Callithrix jacchus: one gene and its partners. The protein of the gene in region 2 interacts with the protein of the main gene of each other region in a pairwise test. Links are inferred from orthologs where the notes say so. Each region holds a gene or a part of one and is shown on either strand. Other genes may lie near its edges.

Region 1 (4,334 bases), on a different chromosome or scaffold from region 2:
TGCCAATTATTCTAACTGTAATGAGCAAATTCATCATATTTTTTTCTTATAAACAGTGCCAACCTGTTTACTAAATGTATGAAACCTGGTAATATCAGTTGTCTAACAGTCAGAATCAATGCTAAGGTTAATTTAAAAAAACCTGCTAGGAAAAGATATAGCAGTAATTAGAGATTCTTAAGAGCAACACTTATGTTCTAAGTGGATTTACATTTGTTCCCCTTGGTCAAAGACTGGGGTTTCGACATAATATAGTAGACTGGATCTCTTGATTTTTGAAACGAGCATGAGTGTTGCTAGACAATCGTGGTGCTCTCAGCATCAGTGATCTCTGGCCAGGGCCTCTGTGGATGCAGTATGTATGATATATAATAGAAGCAGGGTAAGATCATGGTTCAAAACTTAGGCACTGGTGGCAATGCTGGGTTCAAACCTGTCCTCTCCTTATTCATATTTTGGAAGCAATTTATCTAATGTCTCTCAAACTCATTTTTCTCATCGGTAAAATGGATATAATAATAGTTCCTAACTCTTGGAGTTAGTGATATAATTAAATGAGATCACCTGTACTAAGCACTTAGCAAAGTGGCCCATAATGAGCTCTGAATATACATTAGTACCCTTTCTATAAAAAATCTTCTTTTTATAAAATTGTAGACTCATTTTAAATGACTTAAACACAAAGTGGTTATAGTTGCCAGAAACCTCCTTAGTTCAGACTTTAAGTATTTTTAGATGAAAATCTTTGCTGTGGTCAAAGAACATGTTACAGTGCTACTTCTTGTTCCATCACATGAATACAATTTCTGTGCTCTGCTGCAATAGACTGACCTCTTTGTCTGCCTACTCTGCCTGCCTGGGATATGTGAACTATGCCAAGCCTTCTTACCTATGAATACTTCCTCACACTGCTCCCTTACATTTCTCTCCCACAACATATTTGAGACTGTTATCATAATACTTACAGATATTTTCCTCTCTTTCTTCCCTTTCAATAAGAATTAATTGTGCAGACTCAGGATTGAGAGTGAACGACATGCCTAAACACACACACATTCATTCACGACAATAATTCATGCAGTCTTTTCCAAAGCATGAAGGGCCTAAGCCTTCTTATAAATGTAAGATCAATCAAAAATTTTTTGAAGGTTCAAATAGTAATCTCATTCATTTTATAAATTTTTTTGGAGACAAAAGGAAGTATTATATGGGGTTTTCTTTTATCCTATTGGGTGGGCAGCTGGTCATTGAAAAGCCATTCATTGCTTAGTCCTGACATTGCCTCTCCCCATTGGGTCTCTCTAAGAGTCACATGCTCCAGGCTTCCTTGAAAAGAATCTTCTGAGGCCTCAGCATCTTATCTGAATCTCCTGAATCCCACTTAGAACTGTGTTGAGCTCTCACCCATCACGATGAGCAACAAATTCCTGGGCACCTGGAAACTTGTCTCCAGTGAACACTTTGATGATTATATGAAAGCTCTGGGTAAGAAATGCTCTTTGTTGTTCTGCTGAAAAGTCCGTTTTTAAGAAAACTACATGACATTTTCATCTAACACCTTTAACAGGAGACTGGGGAAGTTTGCACAGCCTGCAGTACAATCCTCTTTTAGGATTAATCTTTTGTTCTGTCATTCAGATAATTTATTTGCATTTTATTTGTGGTAATTTTTATAGACTTTAACTTAAATGGGAGAGCTACTTAAATGCATGGAACTCCCACTGATTTCAAAGGCAATTTCGTACCAAGAAATGCACTATTTTTGACATGCAAAATTTTGGTTGCAGACCCAAAGAAAAGAAAGCTTAAAAGCATGGTCAATCTGTTTTCCGGCTTTTCTGAGAGCTAGGTTTACAGCAATTTAGGTGCTCATAAAAGAAGGAATTGAATATATTGCAGATCCTAGAAAATCTCAATTTAAAATTTTAATTTTGATCTAAACAGGTTTTTCTCTCTACCTTTAGGTTGTTCTTTATTACACAATCACGTAGATACGGAGAGTTTGAAAAACAAAAATACTTCCTAAAATATTATGTTCATAGCCTAGGGAAGTTACTGAGAGAAAAAGAACTGGAGGTGTGGCAGTGAATTCAAACTCAATTTCACGAACGTCAGATGTTCCTGGAGTTGGAGGAGTGAATGGCGATGAAAATCCTAGTTACTAGTTACGACAACTTTATTTTATATGATTTCTAGAGTATGTCCCCTTAATATAACACAATAGATATGAAGAGTTTTGGGGAATCTTCAGAACTATATAAATATAACAATGAGTAATGCCAGTGACCTAAGGTTGCTGTACTTGTCAAAGTCTCTACTGCTTTACTTGGCTGTTAAGAAAGCTTGTATAAAACGTTCTATTTTAGGTAAAATGAGCAAAGTAATGTCATTGTTGCCTGGAACACTATGAGAACTTATGGGCATAAATTCATACTGGGAGATCTGTTAGATTTAAAGACTTCACTTTACAGCTGAGGAAGAAGCCAAGTAAGAGAAAGTCTCAGTGAAGGATTCTCTAATTTCATTGCTTTCCGATTTTAGTGTGCAAAAGGATATTTTGGGATTTGGTAAATATAAATTCTCAGACTCTGCCCCAGAGATTATGATTTAACTTGAAAAACATTGTCCTAAAATAGCAAAAGATTAATCAGAATTTGAAGAAAGAATATAGGGTATAGTTTATTGGCTATAACGCTTAACTTCTTATTTAGTATATAAAAGTTTGGGATCTTTTTAACCGGAAAAAGTATGTCCAAGCATTAAGACGTCCTGGGAAACCAGTTTCTCTTTCATATATTTTTTATTTGACATTTTTCCTTTTCCATATATTTTATAGTCTTGGTGATAATAGTAATAAAGTTAAGAGTTTAATTTTGTTTTTGAAATATAGAAGTTTTCTTTTAAAATTATTTTATTTCTCTATGATCATTTGTAATAGATTTCAAAGCTAGATGGTTAGTTTTTTTCTACCAGCTAGATAAAGAAGCTACAAAATTTCAGAAGTGAGAGCCATATCAAAAATATGAGGGGAGTACTTCTCCACATCTATAATATAGTATTGAGAGAAAATATCATGGAACAATATGTATATGCTTTAGTCGCATTTTAAAAATATCTATAGTATTTGAATGTACAAACTAAAATCTCTATAATGATTTATGCAAATCTGTAACTAGTAATTTTCAATGGGGAGTAGGATTGGATATAATAAAAATGGATGACATGCATTATTTCAGCTGGAAACTTTTACTCTTGAAAATCTGCAGACATTACTTCTGTAACAACAAAACCTAAAATGTTTGGGTTCTGGGCATGTATTTCCATTGGGAGTGAAACATGGGAGGAGATCCCTAGTAATAAGTTATACTACCTGTCATCAACACACCTGGGGCACCGCCAAGCATAGGATGTGGCCACCACAGTCTCTTCAGGTATGCTGTCTTGGGCAACATAATTCTAACACTATCTTAATTTTCAGGTGTGGGGTTAGCCACCAGAAAACTGGGAAATTTGGCCAAACCCAGTGTGATCATCAGCAAGAAAGGAGATATTATAACTATACGAACTGAAAGTACCTTTAAAAATACAGAGGTCTCCTTCAAGCTAGGCCAGGAATTTGAAGAAACCACAGCTGACAATAGAAAGGCCAAGGTAATCTTTAATGTTTCTCTTCAAAGTTGGCCCAGTGGGCTGCTTGAGAAAGAGGAATATTCCTGCTAGTGTTTAAAAGGGTAGACTCTATTCTGATGAAAAGGAGTATACCTACTGAGACATCTATTACAAAAATGATTCGGTACTGAATGAACTGCTTCTTTGATCAGCAAATCTCAGGCAAGTCAATTGCATGACCTTTTCTTTGCAGAGCATCATAACCCTGGAGAGAGGATCACTGAATCAAGTGCAGAGATGGGATGGCAAAGAGACAACCATAAAGAGAAAGCTGGTGAATGGGAGAATGGTAGTGGTAAGAGTATTTTCACTTCTAAATACAGAAATAATGCTATATAAACAACTTGATTACATTATTTTCAAAGTACTCTTTGTTTTTTGGAATATCGATGGATAAAAATGACTAAGAATAAAGTAAGAGTTAATGTTTAAGTGATATTTAAACTATTACAGGCTCCTTTTCAAGTATTGACCCAAGATTTTAGAAATAAAAAAGCCCATTTGTTATTTTAAAAATAAAAACACCTAACAATAGCAGTAAAATTAAAGAAAGTTTAGGTAAATCTTACTAGTTTGGAGTCAGAGAAACTGAGTCTAAATTTTAAAAGCAAAATACAGTCTGCAAGGCTCATTTGTAGACTATTTGCAGATATCCAACCATTTTG
Region 2 (4,427 bases):
ATGCTCCATGTTGACTATTTTCCTTCTAAGTGGTCACTGGCTTTCTCATCTTCCTTGTCCTCAATTTTCTGTTAAATTCCAAGTCAATACTATGCAAATGTGGTCCAGATTGGTGCCAGTCTACAAACTGTTTGTGACCAGTCAGGGATGAGATAAGGACAGTGACTGAGAGTGTTTAGAAACTTTTATGGCAATTTGACATTTCTTCAACATCCAAGCACATAATTTTATTAAAGTATCAATCCATACAGATTGAAATTTTAAAAAAACTCATCTTTTAGTAGGACTAAAGTGGTGAGATCCCAAGAAGACAATGATGATTCATGTGTATATATATGTGTGTGTGTGTATACATACATGTATATACAATTTGAATATATTTATATACATGAATATTTGTACATATTTCAAATAAATCCATATTCTAATTTTTCATCTATGAGTATAACTACTATCCTGAGCATGTATAGAAAATCAGTTCTATGCTGCCTCCTCATGGTATCTTACTTGCAGTGAGTTTTAGCAACAAATCCCAAGTGTATTTGAAAGAAACAGGTTAGCAGATAAGAAAAATAATATTAACTACTCTTTTTGAAATAAGTAGTCTATTTCCATGATCTTTTAAAGTGCTCTCATACAAATCATCTCGTTTCCTTGTTGCAGATCTCAAAGGTAAGCCAGGCACAGTGGCTCACACCTGTAATCCCAGCACTTTGGGAGGCTGAGGCATGTGAATCACCTGAGGTCAGGAGTATGAGAACAGCTTGGCCAACATAATGAAACCCTGTCTCTACTAAAAATACAAAAATTAGCCGGGCATGGCGGTGGGCACCTGTAATCCCAGCTACTTAAGAGGCTGAGGCAGGAGAATTGCTTGAACTCGGGAGGTGGAGGTTGCAGTGAGCCAAGATCTTGCCACTGCACTCCAGACTCAGAGACAGAGTGAGACTGTCTCAAACAAACAAACAAACAAAACTCAAAGGTATATAGGGGGAGAGAGTTTATCATTGTAGGTACACATAGCAGAAGATATTTATATTCTTTCCAAACACCTGTATATATAGACTGATAAAATTGAAACTATTGACTGAAAATCAAATAAAGCAATGAATATGCCATTTTACAAGAATCTTACTCCCATATTAAGGATACACAGCTCTAGAAAAACTGAGCATAGAGCATAGCTGGTCATAGCCAACATGTTTACTTTCATTAGTTTTATCACAAAGGAATACTTAAAATGCATAAATTCTTTGTTCTAGCAATTCCACTTCTGGGATTTTTTTTCTCCTTATATACACACATAAACAGAATTAGGTAATTCATCACAGAACTGTTTGCAGTAATTGTAATTTGGAAACAGCTTAAATGTCCACATATAGTACTGCTTAAATTATGTTTATATCTACTCTATTGAATACCATGCAGTCATGACAAAGAACTGAGCAACTTTATAGGTACTGCTAAGAGTTGATTTCCAAGACATATTGTCAATTTCTATAAAGAAAGGTCCCAAACAGTGTTTATGGTATCTTATCATTTGTGTAAAAAGAAGCTGACATATACAGATAAATGTACATGAATGTATATATGCACAGAATATATGTGGAATAATGCAAAAGGAACTGGGGGAGACAAAAATGAGAAAGTGGGTGGGAAGATAAACTTTTAGTATACTTTACTTTGATCTCTTTTGAATTTTATACTGTCTACATGTTACTGCTTAAATATAAAAAAATTCAATATAAAAAGGTTATTATGTAGTATAACAGAATAAGTATAGCTTAGACATCAGGTAGATCTTGATATAAATCCTACCTCCCTTGGTTTTTAAAAAAATCTTAACCTGTGCATCTGAGCCTGCTTGCTCATCTGTCTGATGGCCATCAAGTATGTGAAAACACCCAGCAAATAAAAAGTGCTTAAAAAATTATCGGAAAGGAAAACAACCAGGGTGAACTTCTGATTGAATCAATATTTAGAAGACCTGCCTACTCCGCGTCAGGAACTGCACTTTGCAATTTGGTCTTCACATAATCGGGTGAAGGAAAAACTGTAACCTCATTGGACAGATGAAGATAAATCTGGCATGCATGTAAAAGGTGGAAAGAAAATGAGAGGATTCCTAAATGTGTAACTCAGCAGCACAAGGACTCCAGGAAAGTGAAGCCCACCTGTGGAGATGGCAGTGGAAACTGAGAGAAGACTGTGGTCAGAGTCGTGGCTTCCCTTGACACCATCACAGCTGTCTCATCTGGGGGGTGGCAGAGGGAGAGGCAGGTGCCAATATGTTAGTGCTGCACGGACTTGGAAGAAGCGCGTTCCCTTACCGACCGAGACTTCTCAAAAACATCTCCCAATGTCGATGTTAGAATTCTATTTCACTCCCTCAGGTGCCGAGGTGGATAAGGCATCCCACAGAAAGGATGCAGCGGGGGAGGGCAGTCACCTCCCGCGGTGGGGAGTAGGAGGGAAAGGGGTTGGAACGCTAGAGAAGCTGAGGCAGGGGAGCCCGGACAGAAGGCGCACTCACTGAGTCTTCTCCAAAACATCTCTCGATTAAACTCCTCAGTAGTCTCCTGGGCTTCGCCGACTGGTGGGTGTGGCGTTGGGGGGCCGAACGGTGGCAAATAGAAAAGCTGAGGTAAGCGGAGCCACCTCCCTCGCCCGAGCCCGGCCTCTACCCGACCCGGAGCCCGGCCTCTCCCAGACCCCGAGCCCGCCCCTGCCGTCGCCCGTTCCCACTCCGTAAGCTCACCCCGCACTCGAGGCAGGAGCAACCGCAGCTCCACTGCCAAGTGCCGGAGCTGCTCCAAAGGCGGAGCCAAGGTGGGGACTGCGGTTGCAGGTGCCCCTGCGCTCGCCATCCTCGTCGCTCGCAGAAGGCCGCAAACACAGGCCTCTGCCGCCGCAGCGGGAGTCGCACTGTGACAGCCGCTCTACTTCCGGGTCGCTGCGTCTGGGACTCCTTTCCGGCAACAAGCCGCCCCGCCCCGCCCCAGAGACCCGGCCCCGCCTCCTCTTGCCCCACCCGACCCGGATCCCAGAGGTCCCGTACCTTCCATTCCATTCTCAGACACCAGGCCAGGCCCCGCCTCCTCCTCCCGCCCCACCCCGCCCGGCTCCCAGAGGTCGTGTACCACCCATTCCATTCTCAGACGCCAGGCTAGGCCACGCCTTCTCTCGCCCCAGAGGCCCCGCCACACAAGAAGGCTCCGGCCCAAGGTATTTATTATTCATCATTCATTCATTTATATAATTAGTTGAAAACACTTCCGACTAAGGAACCAGAGAGCCCGCAATCCTGTGGGAAAATAGACCAGGGAACTCGTATCTCAGAGGTAGTCGGGGTCGGATCCAGATCCTCACAGGTTCCCTGTCCCTGAAACTGCGCCTTTGACAGCTGCTGAATTCTAAGCACAGCGGTAGATGCTTTATATGGGGTAGCCATAAAAAACACACTGGGTCTCAGATACTCCCATACACACACACCCAACCCCTACCCTGTGGGTGTCCTAGATGAGGGTTTTCTCTTCACCATAGTAAATCAACCCTTTACCTCCTTGGGGAGGGAAGGAATAAAAGCATCATTTTTGAGACTTTTCTGCAGTCCACTCTGCAGGTTATCAGTAGTGGGTAATCCCTCCAACATCCAGGAGTCCAAGGAGCAGCAGCTCCCTAAACTCACCCACTAATACTGGCCTTCCACCTACTACCGGGGTGGAAGCCTGGGCTACATACACAAAGGCTGGGCTTCTGCCCAGCTGCCAGTGGTGAGACATGGCCTTCAGGAGTTCAGGTGGCTTTTTAACTGCACCATGAAGATTCCAAGCTTGGTGGGGTTCAGTGTCCACACACAACGAATGAGAACAGGTGTCGACAATGTCAACCAAGTCCGCAAAGGGGAGAATAAAAAAGCTAGGGTGCCGTATGTTGCATAAAGAAAGTAGCAGGAATAAACCTGCCAGATGTACAGCAGCAGCATAAGTAGGTGAACTGGCATAATTTTTAAGTATTTTCTTTGATGGAGATGAGACCTGAAGTTGTGACCAAAGCACCGCTGCAGCAAGCTCCAACATATGTAAGCCATCAAGGGGATGTTAAAAAACGCCAACTGGAAAAGAACAGAAACATAGCTTACTCCCAAGTCTTTGGAAGAGTTTGGTCTTAATAATGCGTTACTGATGGATTCTAAGAATATGCTGCTTTCTGTCTTGGGGTTAGCTAATTATGCTTCAAGCACAGTTGCTTATAACACAACAGCTAACCTGCGCCTAGTTGTGTATTTGCCCATGTCCTTTTATTCACTTTGAAAGCAGGTATCATTTAATTTATGTTGAGGTCCCAGTGGTGTTAAGCTGGAATTGAACTAAATGTATACACACACATTATACATACAACACATATACATACAACAAAAGGTCCAT
Region 3 (3,148 bases), about 8.4 Mb from region 2:
CAGCCAACAAGTCCTGGATTCAAGTGATTCTTCTCCCTTATCCTCCCAGGTAGTCAGAACTACAGGCACGCACTACCATGCCTGGCTAATTCTTTAAGATTTTTTACAGAGGCGGGATTTTTTTTTTTTTTTTCCTAGGCTGGTCTTGAACTCCTGGCCTCAAATGATCCTCCCACCTCAGCCTTCCAAAGTGCTGGGATTACAGGCGTGAGCCACTGCACCCGGCCCCCAAATATTGTATTGTAAAAGACAATAAAAAGAATACAAACAAAAATGATCAGAGAGAAGCTAGGTGGCGTCAAATGCCTGGGCAAAAAGGGGTTCGGTCTGCAGCGCTACCCTCAGATTAATTTACGGATGCAACTAACCCAAACAGCATTAAATTTGCCAACTCAATGCTTGGTGGCCAGAGATGCATGTCAAGATAATTCATTTGAGCACAGACTAAAGGATTTGGACTTGTACTTATAGTCCAAGTTTCTCAAACTTGCTGTTTTTTACGAATCATCTGATTCATAACGCAAGTGTTGCGTTAATAATACAGATTTCCAGGCGGCTCCCTTATAGATTCCGATTCTGTGCTCCTAGGAAGCAGCCAGGCAATCAGTATTTCATGGGTTCGGTGCCACCTGGTCCAACTTGACAGTGAAGAATCACTCCGCCTGCCAGGTGAGCGGATCAGCTGAGATCAGGAGTTCGAGACCAGCTTGCCCAATATGGAGAAACCCTGTCTCTTGTAAAAATACAAAATTAGCCAGCGTGGCGGCCCATGCTTGTAATCTCAGCTACTCAGGAGGCTGGGGGAGGAGAACTGCTTGAACCGGGGAGGCGGAGGTTGCAGTAAGCCGAGATCACGCCACTGCACTCCAGCCTGGACAACAAGAAAGAAACTCCGTCTTAAAAAAAAAAAAAAAGGACCTGACGCTGGCGGCCGGCGGGAACTACCAGGTCAGCCCCAGGACAGTCCGCCCCGCAAGCACTCCCACGGCACCGCAGGAGCCCAGTTAGCACAGTAAACCCAATCAACAAGCCACAGTCACCCCTCTTCCCCAAAAATGGCCTCTTCAGCTCTAGCACGGAAGACCGTAACAGTCCCCAAAGGGCATTAGTCTTGGAGGAAATGATGTCTACACAAACAGTTTTGGCTACTAAAAACCATGCGGAGCCTCGTAGGTACCCGTCCACACCACCTCCCTCCGGTGCATCTACCCACTCCTTCACCAAACGCGAAGAAAAAAAGAAACGCGAGATGCCAGTGCAGAGGCGTGGTCTCACCTTGACCAATGGGAAGTGAGGGCGTGACCCTAAGCTTTTCTTTCATTGGCTCAGGGTCCCCAGGCTTCCAGGTTTTGGCGCGCTGGGGCAGAAACCGCGCAGGCGTCAGAACGCGCTCTCAGCCTCGGGTCCTGCTGCTGAGGTTTCCGCCATCATGGTGCGGAAGCTTAAGTTCCACGAGCAGAAGCTGCTGAAGCAGGTGGACTTCCTGAACTGGGAGGTCACCGATCACAACCTACACGAGCTGCGCGTGCTGCGGCGTTACCGGCTGCAGCGGCGGGAGGACTACACGCGCTACAACCAGCTCAGCCGTGCCGTGCGTGAGCTGGCGCGGCGCCTGCGCGACCTGCCCGAACGCGACCCGTTCCGCGTGCGCGCTTCCGCCGCGCTGCTGGACAAGCTGTATGCTCTCGGCCTGGTGCCCACGCGCGGTTCGCTGGAGCTTTGCGACTTCGTCACGGCCTCCTCCTTCTGCCGCCGCCGCCTTCCCACCGTGCTCCTCAAGCTGCGCATGGCACAGCACCTTCAGGCTGCTGTGGCTTTTGTGGAGCAAGGCCACATACGCGTGGGCCCTGACGTGGTTACCGACCCCGCCTTCCTTGTCACGCGCAGCATGGAGGACTTTGTCACTTGGGTCGACTCGTCCAAGATCAAGCGGCACGTGCTGGAGTACAACGAGGAGCGCGATGACTTCGATCTGGAAGCCTAGAGGCTCTCCCACTCTCCACGGCTGTCTTTTACAGATGGGAAAACTGAGACCTGATGCTGGGATTCTCTGAGGGTGCTCTCCCCACGGGTGTCAGACGGTTGTAGGTTCTTAAGAACTTGATACATCAAGGGCAGGCTGTGCACAGAGCCACTGGAGGTGCGTCCTTGTTTTCCAGGAAATGTTATTAGAACTTGGACTACTGATTTTTGTGCCTTGGGAAACAGTGGGAAGTAACTTGGTGCTGCTCTGGGGTATTGTTGGCTTCTTGCGTTGGAAACTTTGTAATGTAAAAGCAAAAACTGCAAATCCCCACGCTCTGTTTCCCTTTATCGACTTGTAACTGGACTGGTTCCATTCATTTAACTCGAATTCTTGCCCCTGGCCATGGGTTTAAGCTGTGTAGAGATGATGGGGAGTTTGGTGGGCTCAAGTTTTTATAAACTCAGTGAGACTAGTGTGTTCAGGATCTCCTCCCTTGTTTAAAGGAATGCTTTCCTAATGCCAATAAATTACTCAGCTGCTTTGTAAGTGCAACTTTTTATCTGTATGCTTTTGTTTTCTTCTTTCCTCAAGACGGACTCCTGCTCTGTCACCCAGGCTGGGTGCAGTGGCGAGATCTCAGCTCACTGCAACCTCAGTCTCCTGGGTTCAAGCAAGTCTCCTGCCTCAACCTCCCGAGTAGCTAGGATTACAGGTGCCTGCCACTGCGCCCGGATAGTTTTTGTATTTTTAGTTGAGATGATTTCCCCATATTGGCCGGGCTGGTCTCTAACTCCTGACCTCGTAACCCGCTCACCTTGGCTTCCCAAAGTGCTAGGATTACCGGCATGAGACACCGTGCCTGGCCTCTAGTTTTCTTATATAGGGTCATATTTATGCATCCCAGGAACCCAGAGAAAAGGAATAGAGTCAGCAGCGACCTGCCTGTGGATGAGCTCTGCAGTCGGGACCACATATGGAGGATGCAGGATGTTGTACAGGATTCGGCATATTTGTCACTTTACCAGTCCCTTCCTTGGAAGGAATGTTTTGGCAGAGCTCTTCCTCACAGGACTTCCTGTGGATATTCCAGCCCCAGGAAGTACCCTATTAGAGGGCTGAGGTGTTTGCTTGTCTAAGGAAATAATCACCCTGGAGCTTGGCCATCTAGCAGTTGGAGTTCCC
Region 4 (4,570 bases), on a different chromosome or scaffold from region 2:
TTTCCCATGTCAACAAATATAGATCTGCACCATTTTCTAATGGCTTCATGGTATTCCGTTATATTGATGTACTACAATTAGAGATGATATTTATATCATCAGAGCTAAGAGGTCCTTGGAAATGTACCTTTTGCATATGTATATACTTGGAAAAGTGCGTTCAAAGGGAGGCAGACTCAGGGTTTGGAAGGGACTGTATAGCACACTGAGTCCCAGGGGCTTCGAACTTCCTCCTAGACTTCAGTTCTGAAGCCATCACTTACTGGCTGAGAGACCTGGGCAAATTATTTAACCTTCCTGTGAGTATTCTCATCGATAAAATGGGAGTGCTAACACAGGACTGCATCTCCTCAGAGGACTGCTGTGAAGATGAGCTTCCGTAATATGCACAGAGTACTTAGGATGATGCTAACCGTGCAGTAACACATGGCCATCAGAAAGAGATCTCAGGGGTGGGCAAGGTGGCTCATGCCTGTGATCCCAGCAATTTAGGAGGCCAGGGTGGGAGGATCACTTGAGTTCAGCAGTTTGACACCAACCTGGGCAATATGGCGAAATCCCATCTATACAAAAAATTAGCCAGGCGTGGTGGTGTGCACCTGTAGTCCCAGCTACTTGGGAGGTCAAGGCTGCAATGAGCTGAGATTGCTCCACTGCATTCTGCCTGGGCAACAGAGAGAAACTCCTAAAAAAAAAAAAAAAAAAAAAAAAGATCTGATGGAGATGAATTACTCTGTGGATGTTTGTTGGCTAGTTTTCTAGGAAGAGGAAATGGCCAATGCAAAAGCCCTCCAGTGAAGCCTGCTTTGGAAAAGCAGCAGAGCATCATCTGGCTGGAAAGCAAATAAGTCAGAGGGAAAACATCTGAGATAATTATAGAGGGCATGACGGGCAGATAGGTAGGGCCTTGTAGGTAGTTTAGATTTTAGGTTTTACTCTGTAGGAAACGGAAAGTTTTGAGAAGATAAGGAGATGAGCTGACTTAAGGGTTTTTTTAATTTTGTTTTGTTTTGTTTTGAGACGGAGTCTCTCTCTGTCGCCCAGGCTGGAGTGCAATGGCACGAGCTTGGCTCACTGCCAACTTCTGTATCCCGGGTTCAAGCGATTCTCCTGCCTCAGCCTCCCCAGTAGCTGGGATTACAGGCATGCGCCACCACAGCCGGCTAATTTTTGTATTTTTAGGACAGTCTGGGTCTCGCCATGTTGGCCAGGCTGGTCCTGAACTCCTGACCGTGTCAGGTGATCCACTGGCCTTGGCCTCCCAAAGTGCTGAGAGTACAGGCAGGAGCCACCGCGGCCGGCCAGGTTTTAAAAGTATCCCTCTGTTTTGGTAGGAGGAAAAACAAACTAGAGAAACCAAGAGACCATTCTGCTCTAAGCATTGCAATTATGTCTCAGCCCCATGTCACGCTGTTTAGTTTGCTGAGCTGGCCAGGTGGCAGAGCGAACTCCCAATTAGCTTACTCTAGCGCCTACAAGAAGGCAGCTCCAGCCCAGCAGGTGGCAGCAGCTCAGAGCAAGCGCCTCCAACGCCAGGCAGCTCCTTCCTTCACGATCCTACTTAAAGGCGGCTTCCGTTAACTGAAGTGGCAGCAATATTATCCAATGGCTGCTTGTATTCGTTCGGCTTTGTCGAACGAGCGATGTCGCCAGCCAATAAGTGGGGGCGTTTATCCGCGGTTTCTGATTGGCTACTTTGTTCGCATATAAAATGAACGCTCTAGCCTGCGGCCCTTCTCTCGCCAGGCGTCCTCGTGGAAGGTTTGTGCGTCAAGCCGATCGGCGCCAGGGGCCAGAGGCGGGAAGCTTGGAGGGATCTTTGGGGGCCTTTTGGGAACATGGAGTCCTCTCCTGCTCCCCCTGGGGCCTCGGTGATGGCTCGCACTCCCCGAGGTGGCAGCGGCTGCCCCAGGCCGGGCCGCCGGGCGCTTGCGCGTGTCCTGCTCCATATAGGTCTGGGACCGGGGGATGGGTGCCGGGGTGACCAGGCCTGAGCTCCCTATCTCTCCTCAGTGACAGCGTCTTTAAACCCTGCGTGGCAATCCCTGACGCACCGCCGTGATGCCCAGGGAAGACAGGGCGACCTGGAAGTCCAACTACTTCTTGAAGATCATCGTAAGTGTGGGCTGGGTCGCCGCTGCCCTTCATGTTTCCCCAGCTCAGATAGGGACAGTCGGCTGCTAAGTGCTGAGGGTCTCCTCAGTTCCGGCTCCTGAATCAGGCCATTTTCAGGAAAATCCTGTTTAATTAACAATTCCCTGAGATAGGTCGCCTCTGTTGCAGATAAACAGGCTCAGGCAGGTGGCTAAGATGACAGCATTCATATCCAAGTCTGTTTGGCTTCCAAAAGAGTGCACATTATGCTTGCTTTTTTATTTTTTTGAGACAGAATCTCTGTCGCAAGGCTGGAGTGCAGTGGCGCGATCTCGGCTCACTGCAACCTTCGCCTCCCTGGTTCAAGCGATTATCTTGCCTCAGCCTCCCGAGTAGCTGGGACTACAGGTGCCCGCCACCACGCCCTCCTAATTTTTGTATTTTTAGTACAGAAGGGATTTCGCCATGTTGGCCAGGATGGTCTCGATCTCTTGACCTCGTCATGTGCCCGCCTAAGCCTCCCAAAGTGTTTGGATTACAGGTGTGAGCACTTTTACTCCATCTTTGAGAAGGTCTGAGGTCAGGAATGACTCATTGTAAGGAAGCAAGTTGTTGCATATTTAGGACCTGTCATTCAGGAAACTGAAGTGTCCAGTGACTCTTCTTTTGGATGGCCTTTTGGGTGGGTCCCCCTTGCCCAGAAACACTGACCATACTGCACTTAAGCAATTAGGCAGCATTGTAAAGCATAGCTTGTATTACATTCTCCAATACTTCGAAGGTTTTCAGACACAAAACCCAAAAGAACTGTACAAAAATCCAATTATCCACACCCAGATTTTTTTTTACAAGTAATATGTTGCATATTTGCTTGTGTTGTGTTTTGAAAGCTGTGAATCTACCCGTCCTCTCGACCAGCTTATTTGGAATAGTCCTTTTTTATCCTTTTTTTTTTTTTTTTTAAAGACGGGGTTTCACCATGTTGGTCAGGCCGGTCTTGAACTCTGGACCTCAGGTGATCTGCCCACCTTGGCCTCCAAAGTGCTTTTTTATCCTCTTATAACCATTTTCGTGAATCAAACATGCCTCATAATTGGGAATAGTTAAAAACTAAGAAATTAAAGGAGAAACTCCTTGATTGAATGTAGAAACCTAATTTTCACCGTTTCTACCCAGCAATCGTCATCCAGTTTGGCAGTGTTACAACGTAGCTCCTAGTGGGAAGAATGGCCCCAATCTCCCTTTTGCTTCAAAAGCCTATCAGAAAGGGAGTGAGATGGAAACAAATTGTGGCGTTTTTCAGTTTCTCCTGGCATTTTTCCCCCCTCTTTCTTCCTGTTAAACTTGGCTTTTCTCTGGCTTTTTTTGTAGCAACTATTGGATGATTATCCGAAATGCTTCATCGTGGGAGCAGACAATGTGGGCTCCAAGCAGATGCAGCAGATCCGCATGTCCCTCCGCGGGAAGGCCGTGGTGCTGATGGGCAAGAACACCATGATGCGCAAGGCCATCCGAGGGCACCTGGAAAACAACCCAGCTCTGGAGAAGTCAGTCAGTTCCCGGGGCAGCTTCGTCCTCCCTCCTCCGTGCGAGTCTCCCTCTTTCTGGAAAATGGTGCTGAAAGGTGATTGTTTTCCGTAAACTTCTCTTTGCAGACTCCTGCCTCATATCCGGGGGAATGTGGGCTTTGTGTTCACCAAGGAGGACCTCACTGAGATCAGGGACATGCTGCTGGCCAATAAGGTAAGGGGACAACTGGACTGGCTAAAGAGGCTTTTATCTTTGCTCCTTAAAGCAAAACGGACGATTCTCAGTGGAGACACTTTTCTCACTGTTGTCTTTGTTCAGGTCCCAGCTGCTGCCCGTGCTGGTGCCATCGCCCCATGTGAAGTCACTGTGCCAGCCCAGAACACCGGTCTGGGGCCAGAGAAGACCTCCTTTTTCCAGGCTTTAGGTATCACCACCAAAATCTCCAGGGGCACCATTGAAATCCTGGTGAGTGGACCTGGTTTGCCTGTGCTAGCCAGCCAAATGGGGGGCTTTTTAGTGGCCATGGGTCTGCTGGATGTTCAGGTGTTAACTGCCCCCATTTCTTGTTCAGAGTGATGTGCAGCTGATCAAGACTGGAGACAAAGTGGGAGCCAGTGAAGCCACGCTGCTGAACATGCTCAACATCTCTCCCTTCTCCTTTGGGCTGGTCATCCAGCAGGTGTTCGACAATGGCAGCATCTACAACCCCGAAGTGCTTGACATCACAGAGGAAACTCTGCACTCCCGCTTCCTGGAGGTATATGCTCTCAGCCTGGCCCCCTCTTACACTGATGGTTAAGAGCATGACAAGTGCTGGGCACGGTGGCTCAAGCCTATAATCCCAGCACTTTGGGAGGCCGAGGAGGGTGGATCACGAGGTGAAGAGATCGAGACCATCCTGGTCAACAAGGTGAAACCCCATCTCTACTAAAAATACGAAAATTAG
Region 5 (4,550 bases), on a different chromosome or scaffold from region 2:
TGCAGAGATTCGTGGTGGTGGGTGCTCTGGAAGAGGCGAGGCTGGATCTCACGGTTTTTAAACTGTATTTTTACCCCTTTGGGACCCATAGCTGTACCCTGGAGTCATTCATGAGGCGAGAGTCCTCTGCATCCTCACTCTCCCACCCAGCCCAGGTGCAGCCCCGGAAGGGGAGCCCTGACCCCGCCTTAAACAACCAACTTTCCCACCGAATCCCATCTGGGGGGGTTTGGGTGCGAAGTGCCCTGGAAACCTATTGTCTTTTGGCTCAGCCAAAAGCAACATCCCCTCTTTCCTTTCCTTCTAGGCTTAGGGGAACTTTCTTAAAAACCATAGTTAGGGTTAAGTCCAAGCCCCGACGCCTGACCTAGGTCCTGCTCTCCTTGTTGAGAAACTAACAGGCTCTTGGGAGGAAAATTTGAATTTGACTCCACCCTCTTTCGGGCAAAGGAGAGGCAGGTGTCACCAAGGAGGGGCAGGCCAGAGGAGGGCGACTTGTGCACAGGGCCCCCCACCCTTGGACCCCGCTGTCCTTTTCTCTTTGTTTACTTGGTGGTGGCAGCCAGCCTGACCTTGTCTGTGGTCTGACTGTTCCTAAGTGTGTAACTTTCAGTATTATCTGTGACAGATGGTTCCGTGGTGAAAAAGGTTTATTATATTCTTTATGGCTGCCTTGTACAAAATCCGTTAGAAACGCTAATGTAAGATACCAGATTTCTAACAAGACAAAAACAGCATTATGGAGTTAAACGGTTTTTACAACTAGTCTTGATTTTGATGTGAGCTGGTTTTTAGCTCTCAAACGTTGTCACTTAAATAAAAACCTTATTTGCCTTTACAATGTGTTTTGCTCTGAATGAAGTTGAGAAACCTTTCCGCTTATACATGTTCTCCCTGGGGTGGGACTGGGGGGCCCCCTGGCTGGGAGCAGCGGTAGATGAGGGCCAGACCCCAAACCACAAATCTATAGCACAGAGTGGTGTGGGAGGGCGGGGGGACGTTGGAGGTTGGCAGTGAAAGGGAACAGATGTCAAAGGCAAACAGTCTTCATTATGAGAAAGCAGTGTTATCTAGGAAAGTCACACGCTGGTTTCTTTCTAATAAAATGACAAAGCACATTTCTTAAATAATTTACAAAGGGCAGAAATTGCTCTTGAACAGGCTACCCCTCCCGGCATACCCACAGCGCTCTGCTTCGAGCATATAAATAGGTACCTGTGAGCCCAGGGTCTTAAGCCTGGAAGTAGCTCCTATGCCCTCCTCTGAGTCCCTGATAGGGAAAGCAGGGATGAGAGTGGGGCCCTCGGGAGCCTTGGCACCAGAAACACAGACAGTGAGTGACTCTGCGGATGACACCCCCAAAACCAGACACCTGGGTACATGGCTAAGAGCTCTCAAACATCGGATGCTAGCACTTCACATTACAGATGAGGCAAATACAAAGCTCAAAGTCAGGTGTATAGAGTTTCTAAGCTCGAGAGTCCCCTGGGAAAGCAGAAGGTACAATTCTCCCCACCTCTGCCAGACACTCTCCCCAAGACACTCTCGGGCTATGGCTGGCAGTCATCGATGGGTCCAGATGTGGCCGGAGCAGGGGGGCTCCAGGCCCCTTGTTAGTCAGGTCCTCATTAGCAGGGGCTCAGGGGTACTGATGACTCCTGCAGACTTCCTCCAGGAAGCGCATGGGGAAGCACAGACATCCTTGGGTGTGAAGCCTTGGCGGTCAGACAGGGCTTGTTTCCTGCAAGACAGAGCTGCCTTTGGGCCCTTCACTGTGCTCCAGGAGGAGAAGCAGGGATGCCTTTCCCTGCCCACTGCAGGGTGAGAGGTGCTAGAAGGTGGCTGAAGCTACTCGGGGCCCCCAGCATGCTCAGTTAGTGATGGGGGTCATGAGGTTAGCTCTGACCTCAAATAGCAGGCAGATACTACTGACTCTGCTGTGCCCATTAGGTCTGTGGGCTTTTTCTTTAACTTACTCATGCGTAAGGTGGAGGAGGACATTGGGAAAGATCTCCGGGGTCGGGGAGGGGGGGCAGTGGGCATTACCTGCAGGCACTTCATCAGCCATGAATGAGAGAGACGATGTCACCACTAGAGAGAAGGGGAGGGATGGATGCCACTGGGTGTGGTGGGCTCTGAGAGGGCCCTCCCAGTCTAGGCTAGACAAGATCAGACCCAGCCTTAGAGTCCATCATGGCCATTATACAAGTGGAATGGGGAAACAGCCCTGAGTTAGGAGACATCCAGAACCAAGGCCCTGCCCCCAGGATGGGGTCATGAGCGGACAGACCAGGAATTCCATAGCAGTCATGTTGCTTTTCCCAATTCCATAGGCAGGGAGGGCACAGAGGAGCCATGGAGAGTTCTGGAGGAAGGGTAGGCTTTTCAGGAATGGAACCAGCCACATGTGAGATTCCAAGTGATGGACAAATGTGGGGGTGCAAGGCCCAGAAGACCACACACATTCAGGGTGCCTCCTTTACCATCACCCCAGTCCAGGTTTTTATCTCTTCTTGTGTTTGAGATAAGGGAGACTGAGGCTCAGAGAGGGGCAGAGACTGGCCAGGGTCACACAGCAGGTCAGAGCAAAACCGGCACCTGCCTGCAAAGATAGCTGGAGGGGCCCTTCCGGCCATTTCACTTTGAAGCATGGGATGCCAACTCACCTCTCTTCTGCCATGATGGCTTCATCTAGCTCTTGGGACAGCTTCTGTAGGTGCTGAATTCCCACCCCCACAGGCTCTAGGTCGCTGTCAGACTCACTGAATGAAAGAAAAACCCACACCAGTGACTAGTTGCAAACCCCTGGTGGGCCTCATACCAGGGTCTGGTCTTTGGGCCTGGATGACCCTGGTGGGCTGGGCTTCACTCTAGACCCTCACTCCAGGAAGTGACCTCAGAGCAAAGAACAGAGAGATCAAGATCCATGAGGCCGAGGTCATGGGCAAGGGATTTTGCAGTTTCCCCACTTGGAAACTGAGCCTCAGCCCTCCAGTTAGAGTCAAAACTTGCTTTTGGGCTCACTAGGAGGCTTGGGTGGGTGTGACTGTGTCAGAGCTCAGCTCAGCTCTTCCTTTACAGACAGGGAAACTAAGGTCCTGGAGGATTGATTGGCTCAGGTCCCTCACTAGCTCTGGGGGCAGAACTGGGTCAGAACGCAGATGTGGAGAGTATTTTTGAAGTGTTCACGAGCCTTATTTTAGCCTCCAGGTTTGCTCCTGCACTGTGCAAAGCCACTCGGTCACTTAAACACGCATCCTGGTGACCACCTGCCACGATGCAGGGGCAGTGGGTAGGCAGCCTTCCCTGGGAGCCCCGAGATGGGAACAGGAAACTAGCTGCCAGGGTCTGCGGACTGGGAACAGCTTCACTCCCTACCCTGCGCCAGGCCAGTTTCTGGGCCTGAGAACTAGAAGATTCTGCAGGACAGGCCAGCTTGATGGGTGGGGCAGAACATCCAGGTGATCTGGACCTCCGCCTTTACTCCTCGACTGCCTACAGGATGTCCCCCATGCTAATCACCAAACCCCTCCGGACCTCCATTTCCTTACCTGTCAAACGGGAAAAACAGAGCCTGCCTTAATCACAGCTCAAGGTTCCTGTGAGACTAAAGAAAGATGCTAGCCTCAAAGAAATGTGGGAAAAATCCAACAGCCCAAAGCTACTAGACAGCCTTAACTAGCACACTACACTACCTTTCCCCCTATAGCTCAGCTGGAAAGTTGAAATAAAACCCTTAGGAATCCAGTTATTGCTTTGTTTTCTCTTTTTTTTTTGAGATGGAGTCTCACTCTGTTGCCTAGGCTGGAGTGCAGTGGTGTGATCTCAGCTCACTGCAACCCTTGCCTCCCAGATTCAAGCGATGCTCCTGCGTCAGCCTCCCAAGTAGCTGGGATTACAGGTGTGTACATCACGCCTGGCTTATTTTATGTTTTTAGTAGAGATGGAGTTTCACCATGTTGGCCAGGCTGGTCTCTTAACTCCTGACTTCAGTGATCCGCCCGCCTCGGCCTCCCAAAGCGCTGGGATGACAGGTATGAGCCACTGTGCCCGTCCTGTTGTCTCATTTTCTAATGAACAAATACATGCCCTGGATCTCTGCTAAAGCAGGACACGCATTTAACAATAAGGATAATAATTACACGCTGTGACTCCACTCAGGGTGCCCCTGGGGCCCAGTTAGTGTCTAGGAGGTCAGAGAGCAGGGATTGTGCCCAGGCTAAAAGGCTACCAGCCCCAGGGTGAGGAACTGTCCTACTTGCCTGGGAGAGCAGAGGGGCTCTGTAGAGGAGTACGGGCTCCGGAAGGCTGCCTCCCGCCTCGACCGCCGTAACGGGCGGGCACATGAGCCCATCTGGGCAGAGAGGCAGTGATGCGCCTTCTCCCAGGGGCCTGAGGGTGAGTAGGCAGGGGTGGCTCCAGACAGCCGGGTGCTCTTCTGGCTCAAGCTGTGAGTTGGGGATCCACTACCCTTCTGTGCTCCTCTCTTCCTCCTCCTGGCCTTCACCTGGGTCTCCACCAGCCACTTGGTGCCACTTTGGCAGGACTCC
Region 6 (2,734 bases), on a different chromosome or scaffold from region 2:
AATATTCTTTGGACAGGACTACTACAGAAGATAATGCTGTGTCCTTCTCAATGCCAGTGCATCATATCAGGAGGCACATGAGGCCAGTTTGTCCTATTATTATTTTTTTTAAGACTGAGTCTCACTTTGTTGCCCAGGCTGGAGTGCAGTGATATGATCTCAGTTCACTGCAACCTCCCTGCTTCCTGGATTCAAGTGATTCTCCTGTTTTAGCCTCCCACGTAGTAGGGATTACAGGCAGGTACCACCATGCCCAGCTAATTTTTTGTACTTTTTTTTTTTTAACGGAGTCTCGCTTTGTCACCAGGCCTCAGGTGATCTGCCCACCTCTGCTTCCCAAAGTGTTGGGATATTAAGTGTGAGCCACCATGCCTGGCCATTAAGCTTTGATTCTTTGATTAAGATTCACCAGATCAGTCTAGCTTTTGATAAAAAAATTTTTTTTTTTTTGAGTCAGAGTCTTGCCCAGGCTGGAGTGCAGTGGTGTGATCTTGGCTCACTGCAACCTCCACTTCCGGCGTTCAAGAGATTCTCTTGCCTCAGCCTCCTGAGTAGCTGGAATTACAAGTGTGCACCACCACAATGAGTTACTTTTTGTATTTTTAGTAGAGACAGGGTTTCACCATGTTAGTCAGGCTGGTCTTAAACTCCTGAGCTCGTGATCCACCCACCCTGGCCTCCCAAAGTGTTGGGATTACAGGCGTGAGCCACTGCGCTCCTTGGCCGCTTTTGATAATTTAAAAACCTGATTTTCCAAGCAGTCAGAGCAACTGTAGCACATCTGACCTGCCTTCACTTTCTATCTTCTCTGGGAGTACCAGGATTTGAAGAATGGCAGGAAGTGTGAAGAGAGTGATGTGGCTCTGGCTGGGTGCGGTGGCTAACACCTGTAATCCCTGCACTTTGGAAGGCCGAGGCTGGGGGATCACTTGAGGTCAGGAGTTCGAGACCAGCTTGGCCAACATGGTGAAACTCCGTCTATACTGAAAACACAAAAATTAGCTGGGCTTGGTGGCGTACACCTGTAATCCCAGCTACTAGGGAAGCTGAGGCAGGAGGATCACTTGAATCCAGGAGGCGGAGGTTGCAGTGAGCTGAGATGAGGCTGTAGTGCGCTGAGATCGTGCCACTGCATTCCGGCCTGGGCGACAGAGTGAGACTTCGTCTCAAAATAATAATAAGAGAGTAGCGTAGCTTGGTGGCGGCGTCACTCCTGAGGCCCCTTGGAACAACTCTACAGTCATGCTTTGTCCAGTGCTGCGGGGCCTAGAATGGGGATTATTCCCCGCCATGTGTTGTACCTGAATCCCTGTAAGCGCGCCTGTGGGTGTGCACAAAAGTGGGCATGTGCACGGTGCCTATGCATGTATGGGTCTTTTTGCCTGCAGCGGCGCGTCCGCAGGCATGTTCCGTCCTGTGCTAGCCTTCAGGTTTTGACGCGTCCGTCCCTTTTTCTTCTAAAGCACATTCTACGTTGGGCACTCTGGGTTTGGCTAAATCGTGCACGCGTCTAAAGCGTTTCTGCAGGAAGCTGGGTCAGAGCTCTCAAGTGCTCCCCCAGTTCTGGGCCGGCTTGGTACGGTCTACAGCCTCCCCTTCCTCCCCCCCTCGCCCCGTGGTAGTTGCACCCGTTCAGTCCGGAAGCCCGTCAGGCTTCGCGACCCGACATGGAGCGTCCCCGCAGTCCCCGCCGCTCGGCCCCGGCCCCGGCCCCGGCCTCTGCTTCGGTTACTCTGTCGCAGCTCCTGCATCTGGTTCAGCAGGGCCAGGAGATCCCGGGCCTAGAGAGACGCCACATCGCGGCGATCCACGGCGAACCCACGGCGTCCCGACTCCCGCGGAGGCCCAAGCCCTGGGAGGCCGCGGCTTTGGCTGAGTCCCCTCCTCCGACCCTCAAGATAGGAACGGCCCGGGCCCCGGCGGAGCCTGGCTTGGCTGAGGCAACGACTGCACCTTCTTCATGGCATACAGTGGGGTCCTGAGGTTCGAGGTTCTTTCCAGCGGAGATCTGGAGGGCGTGGCTCCAGTACCCTGAATGCCAGTCAGTTACTCATCTTTTGTTTCCTCTCTGACCTGCCTCAGCTGGACTTGTTCCTGCAACCACCGTCGAGGTTTCGTATTTGCATTTCTGGGACATGATACGCAGTTCAGAAAAATTCTGTTTCAGCCCTTATATGTAATAAAAGGTTTGATGATGTAACTTGGGCCCAGAATGACTTTGAGGATACATTAAAGGAAAGCCCAAAGCATTTAAATAAGCCAACCAAGACTAAAATCTTGGTTTTTGGAATCAGCTGGATCAGGCAAGGGGCTAGAAAATTAGAACTTTGGAAAGGGTGCCACAGCTACCCTGAAATTAATTAGTCCTTTTATATTAAATATGCTGCCTGGCTCAGTCCACTTACTTTCTCAACACTAGATTTTACTTTCTCTACAAAAGCTAGAGTGTACCTGGTGCGTGCTGACAGGAGCATACCCTAACCCACAGATTATGTAACAGGTCTAGCTTTTCTCAAAAATAAGGATTGTCTCAAAACTTGTTCAAAAAATTAGTTATGTCATGGTACATATACACAAGTGCATAAATTTTATAATTTGTATAAAATTATAAGTTACAAACTTGTTTCATTATGCTTTTTATTAAAAAAAAACATTTTTAGTCAACTTACTCCCTTTTTTTTTTGAGATGGAGCCTCTGTCGCCAGGCTGGAGTGCAGTGGTGCAATCCTGGCTC
Region 7 (4,295 bases), on a different chromosome or scaffold from region 2:
CGTGCTTCATCTTCTGAGCGGTGTCACGGGTAAGGAATGTTGCAAGGTTGAGGAGTGCTTGGTGAGACCTTGTGTTGCAGTCAGGGAGCAGCTCCTCTGTCAGCACTTTAGCCCTCAGTGGGGCCTGTGGGGGCCTGACTGAAAGGTATGGACTTTGTCCTGGGCCACTGAGGAGCCATGGAAAGTCTCTAGGAGGTGGTAGTACATGGGGTCTTTCAGGTTTTACAAGTCTCCAGTGGACCAGAGGGCAAGAGCAAGGCAATGGAGTTGGCGGGGGAGCCAGAAGGAAGGTTCAGGTGGAGACAGGATGGGGGCGTTTCATCCAAGCCTGCAGTGCTGGCAAGGGCTGGGGTTCTGGAGTAGTAGATGCCGGAGGTGATGGGTGAAGGGCATCTCATAGGCCAGGCACTGGAGCTCTGGGAGGTAATGGCTCCTGCAGGGACGCCTTAGCTACAGAGCCCCGCTGGCTGCCTGCCCACCCACTCCACTCAAGAATGACAGTCATTTGTTTAGCTGTTTGTATTTTCTGGGTTTATTCCCCCTTGTTCCAAGCTCTAAGCCTCAGCCTATTTTACTCCACCTCCATAGCCTGCACGGTTTCCTCCAGTAGCTCCAGAGTTAGTGGCTTCACTGTCTGGGTCAGGACAGCTGTGGTTCCAGGCACAAAGTGGTAGTGACCAGACCTGGGAGGAGGGACAGCTTCTGAACATGAGCCTGTCATGTGGCCCATCCCCTTCTTGCAGCCCCCATCTCTCCTGCTATGGCTCCACACATCCCTATGGTCCCCCACCTCCAGCTCTCACCTCTTCACAGGCTCTGTGGGCGAGCTCAGTGTCCTCAGTAGCTTGGCGCCTGACTTCGTGATCACACATGCATCCACATTGCCCCCGGAGCCCAGGTCACCCAAGATTCCTGCGGTGATGGCTTCCACCAGCAGCCCCTGAGCAGCCTCCAGCTGCAGTGATGGATGTGTGAGGCCTAATGGGCCCTCTGCTGTTAATTTAGGCTACAGCTTGGGGACTTGCCTGTCCACTCACCCAATCTGGTCTTGCTCCCCCAACCCTCGCTGTGTTCCTCCCTGTCTTTGGGGAGACATACATCACCTGCTTCTATCCTAGCCCAAACAAAATCTGGGCTCCAGACATTGATATAAATAGGACCCTACTGGTCCTCCCCTTCACCCTCGGTTCCAAAAGATCCTCTGTGAGCTTCGACTGCTCCCAGTCATCCAAGCTTTGGTATTGGACGGTGTGGTGTAGGGATCAAACTTCTCTGCTCTTACTCCACTCACCCTTCAGTGGTCACCTCCTCCGACGAGCCTTCCCCCACCTCCACACTGGGTCAGGGTCCTGTGCTCCCCCAGCTCCCAGGTGCACATCCCACCAGCGACCAGATAGTGGGGAACAGAGGCTGCTCACCGTCATGTCCGGCTGGAACCGGTCTTCTAGCACCGCCAGGGCCGCGTCCTGGCCAGAGCCTGAAGGCAGGAGAAGCATCTGAAGTCAACGGCTGCCACCCGGTTTGGAGTAGAAGCCTGAGGCCAAGGTCACAGGGACAGGGTTCGAGGAGAAGGGACAGAAGCGCTCACCCAGGGCCGTGAAGAGCATACGGCTGTAGGAGCCATGGGGATGTACACCGTAGAGCTGCGGTCCAGTCAGATCTACGCCGCCCACGATCAGCGATGCACCCACGTGGCCCTGGTACCTGCTCGTAGATGGGCGGAGTCGGCCACAAGCGGGGCCCAGGCCTCGGCCCTCTATGCCCCACCCAGGGGTGCTATCCCCGCCCCTTCCTGTGGCCTGGAGCTCGATAGCTGACTTCGCCTCTTCCCGTAGCCCAGCTTCTTAGTCCGGCCTCTTCCGGTCACCTGGCCCGTCACGGCCCCGCCCTCCTTTTGTTCCGCTTTTTTTATTGGCCCTGCCCCTGCAACGGCCACTCGCGGGGTCCTGTTAGCCTCGCCCTCGCACCGGAAGAGCGTCTGGCGCAGGATGCGGGTGACTGTGGGCACGCGGGGCTCGCGGCCGGTGGATAGCGCGTGTAGCTCCATCTTGGACCCCACCATTCGTGTAATCATTTCGGTGTCCGCGGCTACTCCAGCCCCACAGCAGCTGAGGGGAAAAAGGAGGATTGGCGTGGGCAGGGCTAGGACGTGCGGGGACCGGAGTAGGAACGAAGGGGCGGTTCTTTTTTGCGTGCCGGAACTAGGCTAGGGGAGTCTCACTAGATTTTGGGGGCGATGAAGTGGATTTTCTCGCAGCTCTTGTCCGCCACTACAGAATCATTAGTGGCTCGCGTGTCGGCGCCCAGAATGACCCCGTCCTGAGGAGAGGGAGGGACCGCAGCCTCAGTGCCTGCTTGATGCTCCTGGCTCCCCTCCAGCTCCCCCGTCCCTCCCCGCGGCTTACTTGGAACACAAGGCCCGCGATGGTGGTACCGGTCTTGCGTGCATGAGGGACCTTGAGTCCCGGGAGGACGCGTTCCAAGGATGCATTTCTGGAAAGGGAGGAGGGGGCGCAGGTTTCAGCTCTACTTCCAAGACCCCTGTTGCTTCCCCTAACCCGGTCCCAGTCTCCCTCATCTTCTAGTGTAAGCCTGGAACCCGTCGCTGAACACACCCTCCCCCACCCCCAACCAGGAAAAAAGGCCACGACCAAGCAGAGGCGGCTTGGGAGCGACCCTCCCCTTCACCTTTGGCAGTTCTCGAAGGAGAAACCCCCTCGGGTCTCCAGGGCTGGCTCCAGCATCTTGGGGCAGGCAGAGCCGATTAGGGGTCGCGGGCAGATGGGTGGGTCAGACAAGTGGGGCCAGTGAGGAGCTGAAAAGCCCTCTGCTAGGCTCCACGTCTGTCCTTTCTACTTTCACTTTCGCCTTTACCCTTCCTCAAAGTCCCCTGGCGGTTTTCGGCATCTTCTCTTTCACTTTCGGCTTTATGTGTGGCTCTGAGCATTTTGGGTACAGGATGATGTCCCTTGCTGGACCCTTTGTGCTGCTCATCGGGTCCTCCGTTGAACAGAGGAACAAGTCTCTTCCCTTCTGGACATTGTTTAGCTTTTCCTTCTGCTCCATCTGAGCCCCCGGCTCTTACCCCAGCCTCAACTCTGATTTCCAGTCCCAACACCCGAAGGCTGTCAGAGCCTTGGCCAGGTTTCTGCATTGTTGCTGGCTAACCAGTAGCATCAGGAGTGGCTGACTTTTGTTCCTTGTCACATTTCTTCCAACTCTTGCCTCTTTTGTTGCGTTTACTCCTCTGCGAAACCTCAAACAGAGGCTCAGTTAGCCGCAGTGATACTGGTCTTTCCATCTTCCCTGTCTCAGGTGCCATCTTCCCTCTCTCAAGAGGAGCACTGTGGCTGCTGGTTTCCACTCATGGCCAAGCCTTGTTATTTCATCTCCCAGTGACCTCTTGTCCGTAGACATCTTCTAGCACTTCTCATCTCAGCTAGCATCTTCTCCCACACTGACATTGCACTGGCCTCCCTGGTTACTTCGCAATTTTTGCCCCTCACCTCAGGCTACACTTTACCCTGCAGAGAGTCTTTCTAAATTGGAAATCTGGCACACTCTCTGGTTTAAACCCTTCAGCAGGTCGGGCCTGGTGGCTCACCACTGTAATCCCAGCATTTTGGAAGCCCAGGAGTTCGAGGCCACAGTGAGACATGGATCACGCCATTGTACTCCAGCCTGGGCAATAGACCCTGTCTCAAAGCGGGGGGCGGAGGGGAAGATTTGGGTGCTCGCGTAGGCAGCACATATACTAAAATTGGAACGACACAGAGATTAGCATGGCCCCTGTGCAGTGCAAGGATGACATGCAAATTCGTGAAGTGTTCCATATTTATTTTTTAAAAGTTACTAAAATTTTAAAAAGAAGTTTTAAAAAAAAAGATTTGGGTTTGAGCCTAAGAGCAGCATGCAGCTGCTGAAGTGTTTACTTTTTCTTTTTATTTTGAGGGAGTCTCACTCTGTTGTGATCTTGGTTCACTGCAACCTCTGCCTCCCAGGTACAAGCAGTCTTCCACCTCAGCCTCCTGAGTAGCTGGGATCGCAGGCACACACCACCATAGCTGGCTAATTTTTTTTATGCGTGTATGTGTGTATATATATATGTATGTATATTTTATAGAGATGGGGTTTCACCATGTTACCCAGGCTGGTCTTGAACTCCTAAGCTCAGGCGATCCACCCCCGGCCTCCCAAAGTGCTAGGATTATAAGAATGAACCACAATGCTTGGCCTATTTTACTTTTTAAAATTTTTTTATTTTCTTTTTTTTTATTTTGAGACAAGCTCTTGCT

The links.
Region 1: the proteins of CCNDBP1 (region 2) and PMP2 interact in binary tests that used the Homo sapiens proteins (3 or more experiments, as listed by UniProt). The two-hybrid records come from large-scale screens. The link is inferred for Callithrix jacchus from reciprocal best matches to the Homo sapiens genes CCNDBP1 and PMP2.
Region 3: the proteins of CCNDBP1 (region 2) and U3 small nucleolar ribonucleoprotein IMP3 interact in binary tests that used the Homo sapiens proteins (3 or more experiments, as listed by UniProt). The two-hybrid records come from large-scale screens. The link is inferred for Callithrix jacchus from reciprocal best matches to the Homo sapiens genes CCNDBP1 and IMP3.
Region 4: the proteins of CCNDBP1 (region 2) and RPLP0 interact in binary tests that used the Homo sapiens proteins (3 or more experiments, as listed by UniProt). The link is inferred for Callithrix jacchus from reciprocal best matches to the Homo sapiens genes CCNDBP1 and RPLP0.
Region 5: the proteins of CCNDBP1 (region 2) and PIMREG interact in binary tests that used the Homo sapiens proteins (3 or more experiments, as listed by UniProt). The two-hybrid records come from large-scale screens. The link is inferred for Callithrix jacchus from reciprocal best matches to the Homo sapiens genes CCNDBP1 and PIMREG.
Region 6: the proteins of CCNDBP1 (region 2) and PEX39 interact in binary tests that used the Homo sapiens proteins (3 or more experiments, as listed by UniProt). The two-hybrid records come from large-scale screens. The link is inferred for Callithrix jacchus from reciprocal best matches to the Homo sapiens genes CCNDBP1 and PEX39.
Region 7: the proteins of CCNDBP1 (region 2) and PSMB10 interact in binary tests that used the Homo sapiens proteins (3 or more experiments, as listed by UniProt). The two-hybrid records come from large-scale screens. The link is inferred for Callithrix jacchus from reciprocal best matches to the Homo sapiens genes CCNDBP1 and PSMB10.

Annotation. Positions count from the first base shown.
Region 1 is NC_133517.1:45,253,917-45,258,250, forward strand, and holds the start of PMP2 (myelin P2 protein), read left to right. Parts: upstream 1-1,359; 5' UTR 1,360-1,412; coding exon 1,413-1,485; intron 1,486-3,478; coding exon 3,479-3,651; intron 3,652-3,862; coding exon 3,863-3,964; intron 3,965-4,334.
Region 2 is NC_133509.1:30,924,098-30,928,524, reverse strand, and holds the start of CCNDBP1 (cyclin-D1-binding protein 1), read right to left. Parts: upstream 2,933-4,427; 5' UTR 2,868-2,932; coding exon 2,759-2,867; intron 2,594-2,758; coding exon 2,534-2,593; intron 2,255-2,533; coding exon 2,175-2,254; intron 1-2,174. Other genes in the region: TMEM62 (transmembrane protein 62), read right to left, coding at 3,788-4,114. UniProt on the Homo sapiens protein: May negatively regulate cell cycle progression. May act at least in part via inhibition of the cyclin-D1/CDK4 complex, thereby preventing phosphorylation of RB1 and blocking E2F-dependent transcription.
Region 3 is NC_133509.1:22,563,194-22,566,341, reverse strand, and holds U3 small nucleolar ribonucleoprotein IMP3, read left to right. Parts: upstream 1-1,373; 5' UTR 1,374-1,429; coding exon 1,430-1,984; 3' UTR 1,985-2,518; downstream 2,519-3,148. UniProt on the Homo sapiens protein: Component of the 60-80S U3 small nucleolar ribonucleoprotein (U3 snoRNP). Required for the early cleavages during pre-18S ribosomal RNA processing. Part of the small subunit (SSU) processome, first precursor of the small eukaryotic ribosomal subunit.
Region 4 is NC_133510.1:123,328,244-123,332,813, reverse strand, and holds the start of RPLP0 (large ribosomal subunit protein uL10), read left to right. Parts: upstream 1-1,732; 5' UTR 1,733-1,765; intron 1,766-2,013; 5' UTR 2,014-2,061; coding exon 2,062-2,115; intron 2,116-3,465; coding exon 3,466-3,641; intron 3,642-3,749; coding exon 3,750-3,837; intron 3,838-3,942; coding exon 3,943-4,089; intron 4,090-4,195; coding exon 4,196-4,381; intron 4,382-4,570.
Region 5 is NC_133506.1:108,004,197-108,008,746, reverse strand, and holds the end of PIMREG (protein PIMREG), read right to left. Parts: coding exon 4,259-4,550; intron 2,759-4,258; coding exon 2,667-2,758; intron 2,092-2,666; coding exon 2,061-2,091; 3' UTR 2,047-2,060; intron 1,742-2,046; 3' UTR 633-1,741; downstream 1-632. UniProt on the Homo sapiens protein: During mitosis, may play a role in the control of metaphase-to-anaphase transition.
Region 6 is NC_133505.1:51,396,689-51,399,422, reverse strand, and holds PEX39 (peroxisomal biogenesis factor 39), read left to right. Parts: upstream 1-1,647; 5' UTR 1,648-1,667; coding exon 1,668-1,982; 3' UTR 1,983-2,197; downstream 2,198-2,734. UniProt on the Homo sapiens protein: May be a peroxin involved in the PTS2-mediated protein import pathway.
Region 7 is NC_133521.1:25,466,236-25,470,530, forward strand, and holds PSMB10 (proteasome subunit beta type-10), read right to left. Parts: upstream 2,861-4,295; 5' UTR 2,745-2,860; coding exon 2,689-2,744; intron 2,494-2,688; coding exon 2,406-2,493; intron 2,320-2,405; coding exon 2,222-2,319; intron 2,109-2,221; coding exon 1,968-2,108; intron 1,705-1,967; coding exon 1,589-1,704; intron 1,478-1,588; coding exon 1,419-1,477; coding exon of another isoform or gene 1,302-1,418; exon of another isoform or gene 1,292-1,301; intron 956-1,291; coding exon 804-955; intron 684-803; coding exon 572-683; coding exon of another isoform or gene 567-571; 3' UTR 505-566; downstream 1-504. UniProt on the Homo sapiens protein: The proteasome is a multicatalytic proteinase complex which is characterized by its ability to cleave peptides with Arg, Phe, Tyr, Leu, and Glu adjacent to the leaving group at neutral or slightly basic pH.